Linked DNA regions of Caenorhabditis elegans. The protein of the gene in region 1 purifies or fractionates together with the protein of each later gene. This does not show direct contact. Each region holds a gene or a part of one and is shown on either strand. Other genes may lie near its edges. The genes, in order: aka-1 and kin-2.

Region 1 (10,667 bases):
GGCCGTCTCGTTAGAACAAATATAAATGTTGGATCAAAAGTGAGAAAACTTGGTCTTCCAAATCTTTAATATAGTTAATTGTTCAGCAGTCTACTGTATCTTCAAGTTGTCCATCGAATGTTTACGTGGAAATGGGGTACCAAGCGAATCCTGGTAGAAATAAGCGGAATGATTCGGTAAGATACACGTCGCAGATAAATTTTAATATTTTATTTCAACAGGTTTCTCGAAGATATGTTCCAACATCGGAAGTTTTCGAAATCGATAGCATTCGTCCTGATGATGTTTCCAAAGCCGGTTCATTTTAGTAAATTACTGTACATTCTCTACTCTTCTTTCACTTTGAAAAACTTCGCGTTCTTGCTCATTCTTTCTCCGAAAGATTTAACTATTGATCTGTGTATTTCTGTATTTAATGACACTTTGGAACTATAAAATACGGGTTCGATTTTAAATGAAGTGTTTGACTCTCTTTCTGTAGAATTTTGTGATATTTTTTGACTGAACAAATAGTTAAAACCAATTTTATGAATAAAAAAGAACTCAAGAAATAAGAATCACAAAGAAAGATACTCAAATATTTTGTGATAATTTCATTAGAATCTAAATACTAACTGAGAGGAGAGAGCCAAGAAATAACTGGCAAGTGATTGCACGAAGTTTGATTTTAGAAAATGGAAAAAGTACAACGGGATTGAATAATATTATACATGTATTTACAACTCGGAACCGTCTTTTGGTGAAGTTAGATTATCGACAAGGAAGCGACGAGCCAATAGTGTGAAGAAAATAGCGAAACACAAAGCGATAACTGGAATCTTGTATAGAAGGGTATAGTCAAAGTTTGTTGATGCCAAGCGGGGAGCGTGGTGTTGGAATACCAGAGGTTGTGGATCTGAAAATATAAATTATTTTCAAGACAAAATGTTTCAATTCAAGTACCTCGAATGGGTTGGACAGCAGGTTGTGCGACATCTGGTACTTCTGATGAATTGACATTAACAGTAGTACCTTCTTCTCTCTCATCTGCATCTTCTTCTGATTCTTCGACATTTTCTGTTGGGACCGAGCTTGTTTCTTCACTTGGCTCTGTTTCTGTCGGGTTCTTTTGATTGTTGGCTGCTTCAACTTCTTTTTTAACAACAGATTCATCTTGAAACTTGAGTTGGGCAGCAAGAGTTTTCGCTTCTTCGGTTTGTTTTAATTGTCCATCTTCAGTTATCGGAAGAAGCGCAGTTTTCATGACACATCCGCATTCTTTACATTTCCACTCACAGCTCCTATAAATACGCTACTTGATTAAAAACAAATAAAAAATGAGACTCACAATTTGGCTAAACGCTGGCGCTCTTTGGGAGGATAATCCAAACTACCAAGCGCGCCTCCTGGGGTACTTGGCAGGAATCCAATCAACGCGAGAAGAGCTGTACGAACTGCAAAATGTATTAAAAAGTCTTAAAATGAATAGACCATTGTAAAACTTACTGCTCCAAGATGGTAGCCACGTTTCTGGGTGATATCCCGAAATCGAAAGGCATACTTTCTTATTTAGCTCAAATCGTCCATTAGGCTGTAATGAAAAATTGTGTAGACTATGTAATTGCAAGGAATAAACTGAACATACCGTAAGAAGTATCAAATTTGGCGGTTTCATCGGGTAATCTGCTGGAAATATAATTCTACCATGATAAATTCCGCCTTCAAAGTCAGTCCCGAGAGTACCACGAATCGTGAAGTGCCATTCAAAAAGATTGTCTTCCATTGGTTGTGCATGATACATTTCCGTTGGCTGTCGCAGTTCCATGGCTTCCTTCATGAGCCTCCGCACACCTGTAACGGAAAACATTTTAATCGGTTTATCAGAACTTTTGTTTAAAACAAACTCGTTTGTTTTAGTTGCTAAATTTGAAAAGACTCACCGGCATTTTTAGTGTTGTACTGCTCACTCATTTTATTCTCTAAATTCTCGTACTTTCAGTCAAATGACAATAAATGAAGACGGAAATGAGAAAAAAACTGGAAAACCGAAACCAACGTCAGCGAGACCCGAAGAACTCGGGGGATGTCCAATTGGGGGTATTACCAACTCGGGGGATTGGCCCCGCCCACAGAACCGTGGCTTGCAATACGCCCATTTCTGCAACTGCCGCACGGTTTTAAAATCATTTTTTTCTTGTTAATTCTCGCTCTATTGAGAAAAATACAGTTTTAAAACCGTGCGGCAGTTGCAGAAATGGGCGTATTGCAAGCCACGGTTCTGTGGGCGGGCCAATCCCCCGAGTTGGTAATCCCCCCAGTTGGACATCCCCCGAGTTCTTCGGGTCTCACGTCAGCTGAAAAGAATGTTCACCGTCACGTCAAATTGCACACATTCTTTTTAGAAGACACCGTCACGCCAAATTGCGGACAACCGACCACTTGATCGCATTTTCTTTTCTCTCTTGTTGACAAGACTTCCGCGTCGTAAAAGTAGTCTTTACACGATTTTCTGTCCGTTTTTAATTCTGAAGAAATTCCTAAAACGCTATCCTTGCTTAAATCATATTTCTAAAACGCTGGATATTGATTTTCTCTTCGCAAAAACATTTTCCTCCGCATGAACTTTCATACGACAATTTTTTCGGTTTCATAATGATTTTAACATTGACTTGAATATCCGTGTTATTTTTTCAATAATATTCTTGCAGTCACAATGGAGGAAGTACCTGACATGGACGACCTTCTCGACGAAATGGAGTCAGACTTGGTCAAGAAATGTTGCAGTGTTCAATCAAAACCTCTCTTGCCACCAACATCGATAGGAATGCAACCACGTGGCATAAAACACAATCCGGCTCCAAGAACTGTCGTAACCGTTTCAAAATTTGTGATTAGTGAGGATATGAATGAACAGATGGAAGTAAGATCTCCCTGCACTTGTTTTATCTTACAATTACACATTTGTTTCCAGGGCAACATCAATATTGACACTTCACAGCTTCCAAACACATTTCAAACTAAATCAAGTTTTCCGCCTAATTCAGATGAAAGAAATATAGGAAAAGAGAATGAAGTTTCGGCACGTCAAGAAATTGCTCACAAGCTCAAATCTGTTCATAATTATTCCGACGCGACAAATTTCGATCCTTCCAAAAAAGTCATAACACAAAAATTTTCTCAAGAATCAGAACCAGAGTCTGAGCCAGAACCAGAACCTGAAGAAGTATCAGAAGTAGAAGAGGTATGTAATTTATTATAAACGGAAATAAATTATAAATATAATTTTTCAGGATACTCTTGTTCCGGAAACACAAATTATTTCAAATCTCAACGCCACTGCAAGAGACACGGAGCCTACTGCCACAATATCAAAACCAAATCTCGATTTAGATACCGAAATGGAAGATATGCTGGCATACCTAAATGACGAGAGCGTCGATAAGTCGAGTTTGAAAGATAAACCTGCGAGAGAGGAAGGAGGACGTGATTCCATCGAAGAGTCAGCAAATGAATCAGCACTTTATCAATTTGCTGATCGTTTCTCCGAACTGGTAATTTCCGAGGCTTTGAATCATCGGAAAATGCATTATGATCCTGCTGTTAAAGAATTTTACGAAGCAAATGATTCAGTGCCCGATGTATTTGCAATGAGTCTCGATAGTACTCATTCTTCTCTTAATTCTTTCAACGCAGATAATCACAATTATCTTTCTGAGCCGGAAAATTCTTCTAAGAAAGAACGAATGCAATCTGTAGCGGAAGAAAATGAAGCTAGTGAAGAACCGACACAAAGCTCTTCGGAAACAGAGAAGAACCTTCAAAACGAGAAAATCGATGTTGAATTTATTGAAAACTCTGAGGCGATTGTGCAAAATGAGTCAGAAGATGTTCCAGAGTCTAACTCAACCAGCGGAACTGTTCTTGAGAATATCGAAGACCATTTAGAATCTGATGTTGTAATCGAGAATGGTTCTGAATCTTCTTTTGTGAATGAGAAAATGAATGAAGCCTCGACTGCACATTTAGTTGCTGAGCAATCAGTCGTAGATGATTCGGAGATTCACTTGGAAACTGAAGATCAGGAAACATTGTCACCAGAAACTGCCGACTCATCAACAAATAAAAATTCAGATGAAGTTAGTCAAGAGTGTTTATTAAGTAGATTTAATTAATTACTTTTTACAGTTTCCCGATGAAGGTTCTCAATCAGAAGCATCAGTAAACAACGAAGAAGTGTTAGAAAATGTTGAACATGTTGAAGATGAATGCACAGTAGTAGATGCTGTCAATGAAAACACGGATTCCTCAATCGAGGAGAACGACGAGGAAAATACTGAGAATCGTCCACGCTTTGATGTTTGTACACAAATATACATCCAGAATAATTTCAATTGTTTCAGTCTTCCATAGCCACCATTCACGTTCTTCACGAGTCTGACTCAGACGAATCAGCAACGCCACGAAGAGAAAGGAGACTCACCGAATCAGAATTACAACTCGGAAAAACATCACCGTATTGGATTCCAGATTCTGAATGCCCAAATTGTATGCTGTGCAATACAAGGCAATAATTTATTAGGAATAGGCCTCTAGTTTGTATTTTTTTCAGGTTCACAATTATTACTAGACGCCATCACTGTCGTGCATGCGGACGCGTTCTCTGTGGTTCTTGTTGCAACGAAAAAGCTTTCCTGGAATATCTTCAAGAAGAAGGCAAAAAGCTGCAAGCTGTGCGAGTATGTAAACCATGTTCTGCAATGCTTGCCAGAATTGAAACCCATGAGCAAGATGAACAGAGACGGAGAGAATCAATCGCTTCTGAAAATGGGTTGAGTGGAGATGAAACGATCAGTTCTATTCCAGCTGCTTCCACCTCAATTCCTCGCGGTGTACTGAAAACCAAACCGACGGTACATGTTAATGAAGAAGATGGTGCATCAACAAGTAGTCAAGCTCACTCGACATCGGGAAATGTGTCAGATTCTTCAAGAAGATCGGTAATGTTTAGGGATGGAGTCCGTCCAGGTGCACCTGCCGATGAAGGAAATCCAGAAGAAGAACGATCAACTGCACTTAAACCAAAAAAGGTTTGTGAATTATGTTAGATTATGCCAATGAACGAATGGTTTTAGAAGTCAAGGAAACGGACATCAGTAGTCAGAAGAATAGCAGAATTACGGATGGAGGATGAACTGGCTTGTGCACTTCCGAAAGAAGGAATAACTAAATTATTAATTGTGAAACCTGATTGTGAACATCCGAAATTCGAAGACGCATCCACTGTTCTTGAAACACTTTGCAATTTTTCCGTCGTCACTGTCGTTCTCAAAAAAAATTTGAATTGCACTGTACAAATTTTTAACAGTAAGAATACATTTTAATGTTTTTTTTTGCAAATAAGGTTTATTTTTCCAGATCCTAACTTCGGTCTCGTCTGGGCTGTATCAACGCAAGGTTTCGCTCAAATTGGACTCGACGAATTGATGTTTTCATGGACTTTGAACGATCAAGAAAAACAAAAAGTTGATGCAGAAGAACCCGAACTTGATGAAAAATCTGCATTGGTAGTTTTACCTCTCCCAGTTCTACATCGTATATCATTGGTGAGTATTATTATTTGCATGATCTAAATTTCGAAAACGAAAAAATAAAAAAATACGAAGCGGAAATGAAAAATTTTGTAAGATTGTAGCGTTATTTTGAAAAACCTAAGCTTCTTCATCAAAATTGCACCTGAGGCACCACGTTTTCAAGATCTGTTCAAAAACAAGATCTACGAAAACAAGATCCACCAAAACAAGATCTACATTTTCAAGATCTACCAAAACAAGATCTACGTTTTCAGGATCTGGCACCGTGCCAACTGCGGTTTTCTCTACGCGCGCGTACGCGTCGCGTGTTGCTAAGCGTAAATTCTAGAAGAAAATTTCAAAAAATATTCGTTTGAACGCTAAACAACACGCGACGCGTAACATCGGAGCATCGTTGTTTCGTTTTCTTCGAGAAAATCGCAGTTGGCACGGTGCCAGATCCTGAAAACGTAGATCTTGTTTTGGTAGATCTTGAAAATGTAGATCTTGTTTTGGTGGATCTTGTTTTCGTAGATCTTGTTTTTGAACAGATCTTGAAAACGTGGTGCCTCTTGCACCTTTTTTATAAATTCGAATGTAGTTTTGTGAAAGAAATATAAAATTTATCAGTTTTTGGGTTAATCAGAATTTTTTATCCCTTTCTAATGCGAAAAATAACTTTTTTACTGAAAAACAATTTTAATTTTTAAAAAAACTCTAAACGCTGCCTCAAAAAAGACGCTATATTTTTTATAAAAGTTAGCTAATTGGTTTAGGAATTAAAACCAGAATTAATCAACAAAAAATCACTATAAAATTAAAATAAATTCGCTTGCATTACAGATCTACACTCAATCCACCGAACATGAATACGCTGGTGTCAGAAAGGTTGAAAATCGTCTGATGCGTGTGCATTCTGTTACAGATCCAACTTATCCATTAACTAAACACATTATGTTTTTCCGGCCTACTGTACAAGTTGGTCTCAAGAATATGCGAATTCCCACAAATCCATTTCTGATTGCTTGTTTCCTGCACGATGATGAACTCAATTGGGCGACAGCTCTTCCTAATCGTTTATTGTATAAACTCGGCGAGAAGTTCAATGGTAAGTAACATTGATATTTTTGTTTATATAATTTTATAATTTTTAAAAATTTCAGTATTCCCAACACCGTTTGTCAATAGTATTGGCCGTGAATCTACATACAGCACTGATGTATCCGGAACTGTATTGAAGGTGTTCACTGACTTCCGGTCTTGGTCTTATAGAATGCGTCACATTTCTGGATGTACAGTCTCGTTGACAAATGATAAAACTGTAATCAGAATTCCAAAATCGGCAATTAAAGAGGTTTATTAGCAAAAGTTTGAAAAATATTTTAAAAAATTGTTTTCAGTTAAAAGATGTTCTAAACTTTAGTCGTTCAATGGTCGCTTGGAGTTGTGATTTGCATTGCGAAGATGATAGTGTACTTGTAAGAGGATTTTTATAATTTACTATCGGAATAATTTCATTGCTTAAGGTTTGTGAGGAAACTGACCCAGGGCTTTATTCGACTCAAGTGTTTGCCAAAAATATTGGACAAAGAGAATGTAAGTTTCTTACTAATAAGAAAAGTTCTTAAATTTCGTTTTTGTAGCTACAAGTGCATCATTTGTAATTCTCGATGGTGGATCGAAAGTCAGTTCACTTCAAGTAAATGTTGTTGAGGATGGTGTTGCTGTAAGACTTCAAAGCGAGCGATTGGAAACTATTTTAAATGCAATTAACGATGGAAACGATGCAGTTGAATCATCTAAAGATATGGAATTTCGTGTCGAGTTTGTCGAAGACGGTAACTGGATTTGTACAGACAGTGATTATTATCCAAAATCGCAGATAGACGGCCTCTATCTCATTGTAAGGATCTGGATCTCATGTTCAAATATTCATTCAATTCCAATTTTCAGAACAAATTTCAATATGGATTGTCTCTCGAAAGAGCTCTGACGCAAGTTCTACAAGTTCAGGGAATAAATGATTATGGAATCAGAATGTCACATGTTTATAATCTCGGTGATGGTAGACTTCAGCCTGAGGAAGAACCTAAAATTTATGGGTAATCAGTAATATTTTATTTTAAACTATGTTCTTCTATTTTCAGAATGATTGAAATTGCTGCGAGGGAATGCGTTGCAATGCTTGAGCCACATATTCAACATTTAATTTGTGCTGGTATTGGGTAAGAATTTTGAGACAAAAAACTTGTTCCGTGATTTCTGATATTTTCAGAAGCGTTTCTATTCGTTTATTCGTTTCGCCGTATGAGTTCGAGTACGATGTTTCGAAATGGCTCGGGTTAGAAGCCGAAAATGACAAATACAAGCAAAGTCTTGATCAGGTATATTTTTAATTTATGCTCAGACCAGAACCCATTGATTTTCAGCTTATTCCAATGTTGTACAATATGGTAGAGTATGTTCCAAATGGTTTTGAAGTCGAATTCGTACTCTCAATTGTGTCTACAAGAGCTCTTCCAATCTGAAACCTTTCGATCCAAATTGAAACATTTTTCTGTTGCCCATTTTCCTAAGAGATTTCCATATATTTCATTACAATGTGCAATCACCCACTTTTAACCTTTTTTTTGTAGAATGCATCCATTTTTACTAGTCTCTCTTTAGACATTCTCAACGCTTATTCGTGTATCCAAATCCTGTGATACTTATTCCATTTTTCTTGTAGTCCCCAAAACACTCCATCTCACTTCTAACACATTTTATACTAATCATGATCGATTTTCTTCTCGGAGGATTTTCAATTATTATTTGATTAGTCGCGGAGTTAACTTGTAATTTAAATCCTTCCGTTTCACCCCCTTGATTTCTCTTTCCGCATCCCATTAATTTTCAATGTTTTGCATAATGATGATTTATAGAAGAAGAAGCAGTTCTCCAATTGAAACCACCGTTTTGTTCATATACTCAAATGCATGCACATTCCAATTGGCATTGACCATCTTCCAAAAGGCAAAGCGAAGTAGAAACGACATATATGAAATAAGTGCTCAAGGCCGAAAATAAATAAATGTCACAACACAGTACAAATAACTCAATTTTTATTAACATTATGCGATTTCATATTTTTTCCGGCTTGGATCCATGATCAACTGCTTTGGACGTCTTCATGTTCGTGTTGGTCGAGCCACTGATCCAACACGCGGACTCGGGCAACGAGCAGTGATGGTGGACGACGACGTGTTGACCTAAATTGGAATCTTATGTAGATTAGATAAATACACTTGTTAGCGAAAGTTTGGTTTTTGTTTTGAGGGTATTGATCATAAAAAAGAATTTCTAAGTGTTTAAACGGAGTATCTGAGGCATGCAAAACTTACATCCAAAACTTGTGAGTCGATTGGTTCTTCCGAGATTGAAAGTTCCAATGACATAGGATTGTCTTGAAATCGTTTTCTGATTTTTACCACAGTTTGGTATCCAGGCGGCGGTCTAGGTATGATGTGAACACGCTCTTGAGACATTTCTACAATAATTATCTTACGATTATCACCATACCACACATTTCAATGAAGGTGGAGTATTACGGCAACACAAAACTCTGAGAATGCATATTCCACAACATATTTGACGCGCAAAATATCTTGTAGCGAAAACTACAGTAACTCTTCTAATGACTACTGTAGAGCTTGTGTCGATCTACGGGATCTCGATTTTTGAAATGAATTTTCTCATTTTTTTCTAAATTTTAATACTCTATTGATAAATCAATGATCAGTAAAAAATTTGTTTTAATTTATATTTCAAAAACTAGCCAGTAAATCGACACTACAGTAGTCTTTTAACGAATTACTGTAGTTTTCGCTACTAGATATTTTGCGCGTCAAATGTGTTGCGGAATACGTATTCTCATAGCATAATAGCGCCAATGGGTATCTCACGTTAATATATGAATGCTCAAATACTGTTGAGGCCGTGTAGAATGTATGTAGTCGGTGTCGATCACGTCTCCAGTACCTCGCCCTCTCTCCCCGTGTGTCCCAGTAAATCATCTGAATTATGTGTAAGAACGGAATAAGACGAACAAGTGATTACTCAAAAACCTATTTATTATACAACCGCGCCCGTGTGGGTCACGCAGGACTCTAAATAGAATAAAACAAGTAAAAGGAGGGAAATACAGTAAAGAACAATAGAAGATGGTATTAAAGTTCCTTGGTGTTGGTGTAAAAACCCTCTCAATCAATACGAAGGTAATAGTGGGTCAATTAAGGAAGATATAATTCAAATAGGGTTTAAGATATAATTCTAACGTAGTGGGTATCGCTACGCGCTGGGAAAATGAAGCATGTGGATATAGATGGTGTGATATGTTGTGGATGTTGGTATTGATAGAGATTAGAAGTATTTTGATAATAATTACGGCATCAACAACATATCATCAGCATCGTATTTCACCAATTCGTCGACAAACAAGTTGTTAACTCGCGGGTGGCGGTGGAGTTGGCACGGCGCCAAGTAGTTAGAGACGCAGTGGGGTCTCGCCGTGAAGGCGCTACTGTAGGCTGGTGGCGCGCGATTTGAATACGAATATTTATGAGGTGATTGATATCTCAGCGAATACTGAACGGATTTGAATGGAACAAAATGTAATAAAGAGATAATAACTGGAGGAATATTCGACAGTTCTAATATTGGTTAAGAATAGTGGGCTATTCAATGTGGAACCAATATTAGAGTACTGTAAAGGTTGTCGGGATAGCTCCGTAAGGGGCAGAATCGACAACAAATACAACAAAAGATAACAAAAATCCTTAATTCGGTTGATTTTGGCTTGATCTCAATTTTAGATAATTTCCTAATTTGAAATACCGCACTTTTTAGTTATTCTATTTATTTGCAGATGTTTCGTACGCGAGAAGTTAAATTGAAACTTGTTTCTCGAAAAAATTTAAAAAAAAAAGAGAAAGAAAATCAAAAAATGCATAAAGCACAAATTAAGCTTGTACCGTGGCTGCGTGTAGGACACGTAAGAAGGGGGCGGGGTTTAATAAGCGCGGTAATTCAAATTAGGATATTACTAAAAATTAATTTTTTTACATACTTAAAGGGGGTTTC
Region 2 (10,649 bases), on another chromosome or scaffold:
GCAATAAAGTTTAGGCGTCGACGGGTCATCTGGTTAAATTCGTTCATTTTCCAAGACCACATAATCATAAAAAATAGAGAATGAGATGAAAGTTGTTTAATGGTCTTGCAATTTCATTTCCAAACCTGATCTTCTACTCTATCCACCCTATCAACACAAAAATTCGCATTATCTCATAACGATTTATTGGTATCGTAATTTGAGCTGTGTTCGAACGAAAAAAAAAGGAGAAACCGTATGCGGGGAGAGGGCTACATTTCATGTTGTTGTTGGTAGTGTGCCTCGGCGAAAATCGCTGCCAATATTTCTCTAACTAGGAGCAATAACGCCTGACAGGCTCCCATTTCTTCTAAAGGACACAAAATAGCAGCAATTTCGATGTGTATATCAATCCTCCTTATTTTTCCGTTTCTCCATTTTCAAGACAATCATTCAGTTTTAAATTTCCTCGATCGATCTATTTGTTTTATTATTGCGTACTTTGTACGCTTCAAAATGTGAGCAGCAAGCAAACAGGTCGGTTTTCCGGGTTCAGTCAGTTTAGTCAAAGTTTTCTAGGTATTCCAAATACTTAACTGTGTCATGAAACGAAGAAACCGAATAAAAAATATAAAAGTTGTGACGCACGCACTGTGGGAACGTGGAGCCCTATTTTCTCAACAATCCATTTCCTTCCATTTCCTTATTCTTGCTTTATTCTGACACTCTGGCACTCATTTTCTTCCCGCAATACATACCATATAGTTCTGCAAACCGTCACATTTTTTGTTCAATCTAACATGTAGGTGTAGCCAGTGGCAATGCAAGCCAGCAGCAGTTCATAAAATATGCAAAATTTTTTGGGCAACGTCAGAAACCCGCAGAGAGATGAAGAGGGTTACTCGAGACCCCGCACGCATAAAGTCTGTCGCAAAGTCTGCAGTGTGAATTCGAATCGATTTCCGTTTTTTTTTCTGCGTTGTTTTTGTTCGGTCTACATAGATAATACGATCATTTTTAAATATGTAGCAGTCTCGGGGTACAAGTTGTCAAGTGAAATCGTTGCTAATTATGATCCATGTTCTCTGTGCTCACGTAATATTCTATATTAGACTGTTTGTTTTTGTATTCAAATGTAAAATACAACCTTTCTAAAAATTTTGAAATTATTTCCTCTCATTTTTAAAATTAATTACACTTCTGTTTATTCATTCATTTTGATACAAAGTGGTTCAAAACAATGAGGGGAAATAATACACAAGTACCGTTTTAATTATGGCAAAAACATTAAAACTATATATTACGAAGAAATCACTGAGATTTTTAAAAGATATTATTATAATAATTAAAAGTGGGGCAAAAGATTCCACTGCTTTTTGACTCGAAAAAAACTTGCAAAGGTTTATTTTTAAATATATTTTATTATGATATTTAGTCATTTTAGCGTTATTGATTTTAAATTGTTTCATTTTTTATCTCCCCACTGTCTGTACTCCACCTAAAAATGTTTTTGTGAGATATATCATTTAAAAAATGTATTTTTGCAAGACTTCTTGATTTTTCCAAAAATAAAAGCCCGAAAAAAATTATATTTCTGAATAACAGTTTTTGTTGTAAAGTTGTATCAATACAACAACATGACTCACATTCACAACACACTATACGTTTTTTTTCTGTAATAATGTCATGCGGGTTGTATTTATCTTCACAATACTTTTTTCCAAGACGTATCCATCATAAAATCAAACAAAATTTATTATAGTAATTTGGAAATTAGAAGATTGATTAGAAAAATAATTTTTATAACGATTTTGACATTGAGAGTTTTTGATTGAGAAGTGATTAAAAGAAAGAATTTATGGGCGCTGGGCGGTTTCTTATAAAACTACCTAATTCAAACATTCCTCTTTTCTGTCACAGGCAGAGGGTCTCCTGAGACCTAAAAAACGGGTGGGCGCTCCACGAAGAAGACGCCGAAAAAAAAAAACAATTTCCCCGGGCGTCGTCGTTGTCGTTGTCCCTGCCTCTGTCTCCTCACGCTTCTTCCATGATTCATAGGGCTCCTTCTCCTTTTTGCTTTGCTTTTTCGCGATTTCTCAGTTTTTTGTCCCGTTTGATGCGTTCCGTATAATATAGAAACGTTGCTTTTTATCCAACAAAACTTTTACATTTTTGTACCAAAAATCCGACAGATTAGCCTATATGGATTAAAGATAAGCTGAGAGTCGGCTGGTATGCTAACTTGATTACCAGCATGCAATAGGATAAAAAATATTGTTCAGTTCTCCCTGTTCCTATTTCAATTTACGTCATATGCCAAAGACCAAAGGCCACGGGTGGTGTAGAGCAAGAGTCCGAGGGGAAATGCCCCGTTGTAATTGGGCGATAACATGAAGACACCCTCGATTTCATCGATAGGTCATTTTCACATTTTCACATTGTGATATTGATTTCTGAACGTTTAGTTTAGTTTATTATCATCACTTGTTTCTCTCGCATGCAAAAAGGTTTACAAACCCGCCTAGAAACCGCATAGGGAGGGGGAAGAGGCGAGAGAAAAGTTAGCATTCGTAGGTATTAAATGCATTTTCTAAAAAATAGGGTTTGAACAACAAATAATTGCTGTTTTTTGCTTGTACTTAAAATGGGCTCGAATTAGCATTCGAAATTCAAAAAAGACCAACAATTGATAGATTCACCAGTTTTGCTAAAGTTTCCAAGTTGCAGAGAATGAAAATTATATATATATTTTTTAATGGAATTATCATTTTTATTGATTGTTTGGTTCACATTATTTAGTTGATTCAAGTGTGTTAAAAGCCGATAAGTACTGAATTTCAATTATGTTTGGTAACCTATCAACTTTAAATGCACCCTTATTAACAAAAAAACGTGAGATAAATTATAAAAATATGCAATACAAATGATACTTTAATGCAGTTAATTTGCAACGCAGAAAAGTGTTTCCCAAATTTTAAACGCCCCCTCGAACGGAATAGCTTATTTATTTTTTGAGAAGTTCATTTGAGTACATTTCGAGTCTATACATGCAAACAATTCAAAACCGTATACATCAAAATTATTTCTATACATTTGTAGCTGCTTGTAACTCTATATGAATTAAACAAAAAAATCTCAAATCAAATTCGTCCGTTTCCGCGACATATTGTAACCGTTGATCTCCTATCAAAAGAGGAAATTCCCTTTATCTTTAAATTATAGTTTCCGGTCTCAGTACTTGCGCGACGACGTTTTTCATTCTGCTAATTATCACCATCAATCATCATATTTACTTTCCGACCATCTGTGTGATCAAAGTGATGAACTGAACTTGTCTTCAAATTTCAACAAATCAATTATCTGATTTTTCTCTTTTTCTCTTTTTCTTTTCTCTCTTTTCTCGTTCTCTCGCTCAACCAAGTTTGGGTATCAATTTTCTTTTCTTGCTCCTCCTCTCTGTTTTTTCCTTCTTCTCCACTTTTTCTTCCTTTTTTTGCTGCTCAATTCTGCTTTGATCTACTGGGAAGGCTGTGTGCCAAGATTTTCCAAAATGTTGTACACTGGCGGGTGTATCAGCATTCATTCGGTAACCGCTCATCTCGCTCTTTTCCGCGGCATCCCCCGTCAAAAGTCTGTTACCTTCCCCACCAAGTTTTCATCTCATTTCAAACGTGTGTTTTCTGCTATTTTTCTCGCATTTTTGTCTCTTTTGTTTGTTTAAAACAAGAAATGACTGAAAATTATGAACAATTATTCAGGTGACATTGTTTTTATGTCGGGTGGAAACGAAGAGGATCAGTTGGCACAATGCCAGGCCTATGTGCAACGACACAACATTCAGCAGCTTGTCAAAGAAGCAATTGGTGAGTTTTTGAAAATCTAGCAAAATAATAACACGAAAGTAAGAATACGATTTTTCCAGTTGTTCTGTGCATACACAAACCCGACAACCCGGTTCTCTTCTTGAAGGATCATTTTGAAAAACTCAACGAACAACGAGCACAGGTTAGTTGAGTTGCAGAGAATTTAGAAATTGAAAAAAAAAATATTTTCAACATAAAAGTGAGAAGAATGACAGAACCAGTTCGAAATTATGACCAGAAAAAGTATTCAAATTTGCTGACACTGAAAGAGTATTGACGTGGTACGCCAAAAAAGTTAATTGTTGCGTTTTGAAACGGTTCTTCTTATCGGAAAACGTAGTGTTGCATAAGCGTATTATAACGTTTTGAGTACAATTTGTGATGGGGGTTTTACAATTCTTCAGGATTTTTATTTAATTGTTCGTGTTTTCTGAACCATGAAACTCGGTTTCAGACTTTCAAATTTGAAATTCACATAGCTTTATAATTATATCATTGTTCTAGATCAGTGAAATTTGTTATTTTATTCTCATTCATAGTACCAAGTTTTTGAGGCATCGAAAATCTCGTTTGACTCGCTTCAAATATTTGAATATTTTATCCGGTTTTGTGGGAGCCAAGCGTCATGATTTTTTGTTTCGATCTTGTTTTTAATGAGATGCACTGCAAAAAAAAGCTTGAGAAAAAACTGGAAAATGCAAATTAGGTCAAACATCTTCCTGTGTCTTTTTCGTCATTCCTCCGCGTTTATGGCTCGAATCAATGAAAATGAAGCTTCACTTCGTTTTTTTTTTCGTCTTGTGTTGCTTCTTTTTTTCATAGAAAGCAAGCCTTGTGTATGTCGTTTTTCCGTCGGGGTCCTCTGGAGAAAGAGAAGAAAAAGAAGAAGAGGAAGAAGAAAAAGAGGCACTAGTTAGCTGGGAAAACGAAAGGATGAAAGAGAGCGGATAAGGCGTAACGAAAACGAAGAGAATTGAGAGAATGGGCCCTTTGAGACGAGTCCCAATGAGCCCTCCAGAGCTGTCCATCGAGCATCGAGCGCCCGCAGCCATTGGCTCAGCTGCCGAGCTCTTTTCCCTTTTTTTCGGGTCCGGTTTGTGAAGCGGAGAGAAAGTGACGAAGAATGAAGAAGGCCTCGGGGCAGATTTCTCTTGCTCTTCGTTGCTCTTCGGACGATCGCATTTTTCTTCTCCTTCTGCCGCTCCTTAATGCTCCATGCTTTTTGTTCTCCGTTGTTTTTTCAACACCCTCGCATTTTGTGTCTGGAATTTTTGTTTCGAAAATAATTGAAGTAGGTAGTATTTTCACAAAAATAACAAAAGTCAAAAGACTAGTCATAAATCTTTAGGAGGTCAGGTGAAAGAAAGGGAAGAGGAAACAGTAACAGTGACGACGAACCAAACATCATTGTCACGTTCTTTGAAGATGTGAAATTCTAGATTTAACCTTTTTTTTTCTCTGACACCTAATTTTTAAAATTCCAAAACATTTTGCTTTTTTTTCTGTCACAAATTTTAAACGCTTCAAACAAAAAACAACATTAGTCATAATCCAGGAAATATAAGGTATTACAAACTTTTTATGACGTCATCGTTACTTGCAACATTCTGAAAAGGTTCTCGAAACGATTATATATATATATATATATATATGATGAAAAACAACACAAAAAGTTCGGAGCTCTAGAATTTCAATTTGGGAACATTCAAAAAAACACAATAAAACTAAAACACTCGAGTCCACTTTTCACACTCCAATTTTTATGTCTTTTTTTGTACACATGTGTTTCAGTTTTAGACACAGCTTATCAAAATCGAATTGGGGCGGTTTTTTGGAATGTGGTCATTAAAAAAGTGTGTTTAAATTTCTATTGAAAAATTTGAACGTTTGTATTTTTTTTTGAAATTGTAAATAGAAATATTAATTTTGAAATGGAAAACTAAGTTTTGAAATTTAACATACTAAATTTGCCAATGCCATTCACTAAAGGACCATAAAGTGTGCGTACCTTCCATTTCCTGCGTCTCTCAACATATTTCTTTTGCATACTGTTCGGACGTTTATCGATCTTTTATGTTCTCTCTTCTTTCCAACCGCTTCCCCAGAAAAATAGTTTATTTTAAACACTCGTTTATGAAAATTTTTTGGCAAATGCTGATACACAATTTTTTTTTCATTTTTAAAGTTTTACAACTTTTATTTTCGAAAAACTAGGAAGTGCATACTCCGATATTTTCTATCTTCTCTCCGCCTCGTTTTCGTTATATTTGTCTGTCAAATTCAATAATCGAATAAAATTTGCCCCGAAGGCAGCTTCTATCCGGCCGAGTGTTTTTATGACCGCCTCAGAGATAGAGAACGATGCCAAGTTAAATGGAGAGAATGAAAAGAGTCACGCTTTTCTGATGCTAAATGACTTTATTGATTTTTGAGAGAAAAACTATTCGAATAAATAGCTCGTTTTTTACGAGGTTTTATTGAATATGTTCGAAAACTAGTAAAATGGGTTTTTTTTTCAAACGAATTGAAATATTAGTCATACCATTCTCTTTGTTTTTCTCCACGTAAAAAATGCCTCGAACGTTATCATTGTGTCATTTTCTATAAAATCAGCTGATTTTTATTTTCTGTACCACAGAAACTTTTATGAATTCTAAGAATAACGTGGCAGATTTTTAAGATAGGGAATTTGTCATTTATTGGATATTTCTCAATGTGTGCATAATACTCTCTGTGAGCACAATACACTCATCGTAAATTAACTTCGATGCGACAAATCAGAAATTAAATAGTTACTCTTAGAAATACTGAAATTGAATTTTTTTTTGTTGTTTCATAAAACAACATGAGTAAGAATAGAGGAACAATTCGAGACTATTTATTTTCTGTCTAAATGTTGCGGCTGCTATAGTAAATTGCCGGTTGCTTGAGACAAAAATGCATGAAGTCGTTGTGCCCTCCACCTACTAAATACAACTGGCAAAGCTCTTTCAGATATTGACATTCTTACTTTTTCCTCTTCCGTCCTTTCCTCTCCCTCTTTCTGTTTCGTTCATTTTGCGCTACCACAGCAAGAAAAACATTCACACGCCTTCAATTAGGTCTCATGTGGAAACCCGGTCCGATTTTGATTTTCGTCTTGTTTTTAGCCTTCTCATTCTACCTCCAACTACAACATACTACTCAATGTTTTGTCATAGTTGTTGTAGTTGAAAGTTCGACGCACACACAATTGCCTTATTTGCCTCCTGACGTGTTCCTTCATTTACAATAGTCATAGTGTTTGTTTTTTCAAATATTTATTTGACTGCTCACCACAACTCTGGTTTCCATGGATATGTTTTATTCCAAAACATCTGCTTCTTAGAAAATTGCCGTTACATTCCTCTTTTTTCACCTACATAGACTTTTTCTTATTCTTTTAACCAAGTTATTAATCAATATTGTCAGAGTATCACCACCAAGGAATGTGATGGGGCAGCAATTGAGCAACCGACGAAACTCGCAATCTGTGGGCGCCACAAAAAACGCAAAGACTCCAAAGCCTAAGGTGATAGTTTTTTGAGAGGATAATCACTTTTTTCTTATGGATTTTTGGATTTCATGCGTAGTTCGAATTAATTCTCTGATTAGAATGGCTTCTATGTTTTCAAACATCACATTTAATAAAATTTCTTGAAAAAATCAAGTTAGAAATTTGAACTGTTCAAAACCTGATCTTTTTAGGCAATTTTAAACGGATTCTGCAAACTTCTAGAAATAAAAAAAAACAAAAATAAAGGGAGACCTCAAAAATAAGAAATTGTTTTGCACAACAGAAACAAAAGTAACCAGGTGTCTGCTAGTATGATCGAATCTCAGTCACGACGGATGAATGATGAGCGGCGTGGAATGAAATGAAAAAAGGGGAAGCGCTGGAACCTTGATGGAGCACTAGCAAAATTGTAGGACGAAGAGACTTGCGAGAGCTACGAGTACGCATTTGAAGCACATTAGACGGCGCGGCAGCTCGCTCGGCGATAGATTGGCTCAGTGTGCACCGCACTTCATATTTCCTTGCGTTTTTCTTCTTGCTTCTTTCCATTGAAAAATTCTTCCAATCCATTTTCAATTCAGTGGTTCACACCTTAAAAATGGAGTTGAACATGTACCGGGTGAGTGAGCGAGTGGGTGTATTTACTTTCTGCTGTGTTGTTTTTATTGCGCAAATAGACAGGCGGAGACGGTTGCCCTGTTGCTAAACAGAAACAAGTAAGTTTGCGGCGTAACATAATTTACATTACCTGGTGGCCCACTTAATACGATTCCCGATTTACAATTTCCAACCTCAAGGTTAACGTTTTGTCGAAACAAAAAAAAAATAGCAGAGGGTCAGTAATTGACTGAACTGGTTCTGGTCATTTTATATTTTGATTTTTCATTCATTTTTTCCGTCGCTGAACTAACTGAAACAGGAAAATTCCAAAATGGTTTGTTATTTTGCACATCTTTTATTTTCAAACTTTCCTTATCAAATCTTAACATTTCAGGAAGGAGGAAATCCGGACGCTGCTGATGATGACGACATCATTGTGGAGCCACCAAAGAGATCAGGTGGACGCAGAACCGGAATCTCTGCCGAACCAATCAAGGAGGACGATACCGAGTACAAGAAGGTTGTGATTCCAAAGGATGATGCTACAAGAAGGTCGCTTGAGTCAGCCATGAGGAAGAACTTGCTCTTTGCTCATTTGGAGGTGAATAAATTCCCAAAAAAATTTCTAATAACATTAAATTTTTATTCAATTTTTTGGTTTTTAGGAGGATGAGCAAAAAACCATGTACGATGCCATGTTCCCAGTTGAGAAGTCTGCTGGAGAGACCATCATCGAACAGGGAGAAGAAGGAGATAACTTCTATGTTATTGATAAGGGAGTGAGTTGCTTCTCTCTAAGAGCTTATCCGTACTTTCATATTTAAGACCGTTGATGTCTACGTCAATCACGAGTACGTTCTCACCATCAACGAGGGTGGATCATTTGGAGAACTTGCTTTGATCTATGGAACTCCACGTGCTGCAACCGTCATTGCCAAGGTGGCAAAATGCCACTCAAATTCATTTTATATATTTTCTTCCAGACCGACGTGAAATTGTGGGCCATCGACCGTCTCACCTACCGTCGTATCTTGATGGGATCAGTAACAAAGAAGAGAAAGATGTATGACGAGTTCCTCTCCAAGGTTCAAATCTTGGGTAAGTAAATTGAAGAACCAGAGAAGAAAAATGAACTTAAGCCGAGACTCATCAATCATCTTTCAGCCGATCTCGACCAGTGGGAGCGCGCTAACGTGGCTGATGCTCTTGAGAGATGCGACTTCGAGCCAGGAACTCATGTCGTCGAGCAAGGACAACCCGGAGACGAATTCTTCATCATTCTCGAGGGAGAAGCCAATGTGTTGCAGAAGAGAAGCGACGACGCACCATTCGACGTTGTCGGACATCTTGGAATGTCGGACTATTTCGGTGAGCAATAATCAGAAAAAAAGAGAAAAATTGGAAAAAAAATGAACAAACATGGAAAGATCAAAAAACTAATTGTATTTGGCAATATGCGGGTGATTCAATAAATGCAAACATTTTTTTTATTGAAATATAACTCTAGACAAGATTTTTGTGACACTTCATATATCAATGTAGGCTTTTCATGAAATGCAGGCGCGGTTTCAGGGAATGACGTCGCTTTGCATTTTGGTGTTAAATCAAAACCCTGGTGTTTGCACCAGAGCCCGACACGTTTTGATTTTTGAACCGCACTAATCAGTAGGCGTGGGTCGCGACCCTTGTCGACGCCTGAATGAAAGCTTTATTTCAATGTCACAATTTCAGGAGAAATCGCTCTTCTTCTCGACCGCCCACGTGCCGCCACCGTTGTTGCCAAAACCCATCTCAAGTGCATCAAGCTGGATCGTAACCGCTTCGAACGTGTCATGGGACCAGTTCGTGAGATCCTGAAGAGAGACGTTTCAAACTACAACTCATACGTCAAACTGATGACCTAATCGGATTACAATCCGTTTGCCCCGCATCTTCCTCATCACCGTATCTTCTTTTCCACCTTTTCGCCAAAGTACTCGTAACTATTTTTTGAAAGTATCCCAAAAATTCTTCCTTAGTTTTTTTTTAGTATTGTATTTTTTCCTGTATTTTTTTGGATTTTCTATTATTCTGCATACTGTCTAGACCTGTAACCTTCTTCTCTCACCAACCGTGACATCTTCAAGCTCCCCCCCCCCAATCAATTCGTTCCCTATCTTCATTTCTAGTCAGTCGATGTCAAATTAAATTCTAAATGTCTAAATTTCTAACTCATAGCCAAAACAACATTCATTGTTTTAACCAGCCCAAAATCCTAGTCAGAAGTTTGCAGAAAACTATTTGAAACTCCTCGTGAAAAAGCTAAAAAAATGTTCAACTAGAATAGTTTTAGTTTTTATTCCCTGTGTAACAAAAAAAACAGTTTTGCATGTTTTCTATTCCACCCTAAAATTTCAACATTTTCAGTAGCTTTACAGCTCAATCTTTACCAACCATTTCCTTCAATTCCTATAGGTTAACTCAAAGAAGAAACGAACACCATTCTTCATTAATTAACATTAAGCAGTGAATGCCAAATCTTGTCTTTAATAATATGTAACATATAATTTTATGAGAAATAAGAAATGCGCATCCACAACAATCGTCCCCCCCCCCCCCTACCCAGCACACATTTTTTTCTTATTTCGTTCCACTTCTGAATTCTGAACTCCGTCACCCTTATCCAGCATTGC

What was found.
Region 2: the proteins of aka-1 (region 1) and kin-2 purify together in Caenorhabditis elegans (affinity purification with western blotting, with the first as the bait; one study listed by BioGRID). This does not show direct contact.

Annotation. Positions count from the first base shown.
Region 1 is NC_003280.10:7,470,558-7,481,224, reverse strand, and holds aka-1 (FYVE-type domain-containing protein), read left to right. Parts: upstream 1-2,687; 5' UTR 2,688-2,692; coding exon 2,693-2,899; intron 2,900-2,950; coding exon 2,951-3,220; intron 3,221-3,269; coding exon 3,270-4,115; intron 4,116-4,164; coding exon 4,165-4,335; intron 4,336-4,379; coding exon 4,380-4,543; intron 4,544-4,588; coding exon 4,589-5,066; intron 5,067-5,111; coding exon 5,112-5,343; intron 5,344-5,394; coding exon 5,395-5,582; intron 5,583-6,392; coding exon 6,393-6,657; intron 6,658-6,712; coding exon 6,713-6,903; intron 6,904-6,949; coding exon 6,950-7,027; intron 7,028-7,075; coding exon 7,076-7,145; intron 7,146-7,192; coding exon 7,193-7,452; intron 7,453-7,502; coding exon 7,503-7,651; intron 7,652-7,696; coding exon 7,697-7,774; intron 7,775-7,824; coding exon 7,825-7,933; intron 7,934-7,978; coding exon 7,979-8,077; 3' UTR 8,078-8,496; downstream 8,497-10,667. Other genes in the region: cah-2 (Putative carbonic anhydrase-like protein 2), read left to right, coding at 1-39, 87-176, 222-308; ubc-6 (UBC core domain-containing protein), read right to left, coding at 717-895, 943-1,280, 1,328-1,433, 1,486-1,570, 1,625-1,830, 1,920-1,950.
Region 2 is NC_003284.9:5,970,927-5,981,575, reverse strand, and holds kin-2 (cAMP-dependent protein kinase regulatory subunit), read left to right. Parts: upstream 1-3,721; coding exon 3,722-3,842; intron 3,843-3,901; coding exon 3,902-3,984; intron 3,985-4,764; exon of another isoform or gene 4,765-4,903; intron 4,904-7,292; exon of another isoform or gene 7,293-7,314; coding exon of another isoform or gene 7,315-7,392; intron 7,393-7,664; exon of another isoform or gene 7,665-7,780; intron 7,781-7,907; exon of another isoform or gene 7,908-8,042; intron 8,043-8,371; coding exon 8,372-8,578; intron 8,579-8,642; coding exon 8,643-8,756; intron 8,757-8,802; coding exon 8,803-8,916; intron 8,917-8,960; coding exon 8,961-9,075; intron 9,076-9,141; coding exon 9,142-9,345; intron 9,346-9,708; coding exon 9,709-9,881; downstream 9,882-10,649. UniProt on the Caenorhabditis elegans protein: Controls the rhythmic contraction of enteric muscles probably by regulating G-protein coupled receptor aex-2-mediated calcium influx in GABAergic DVB neurons.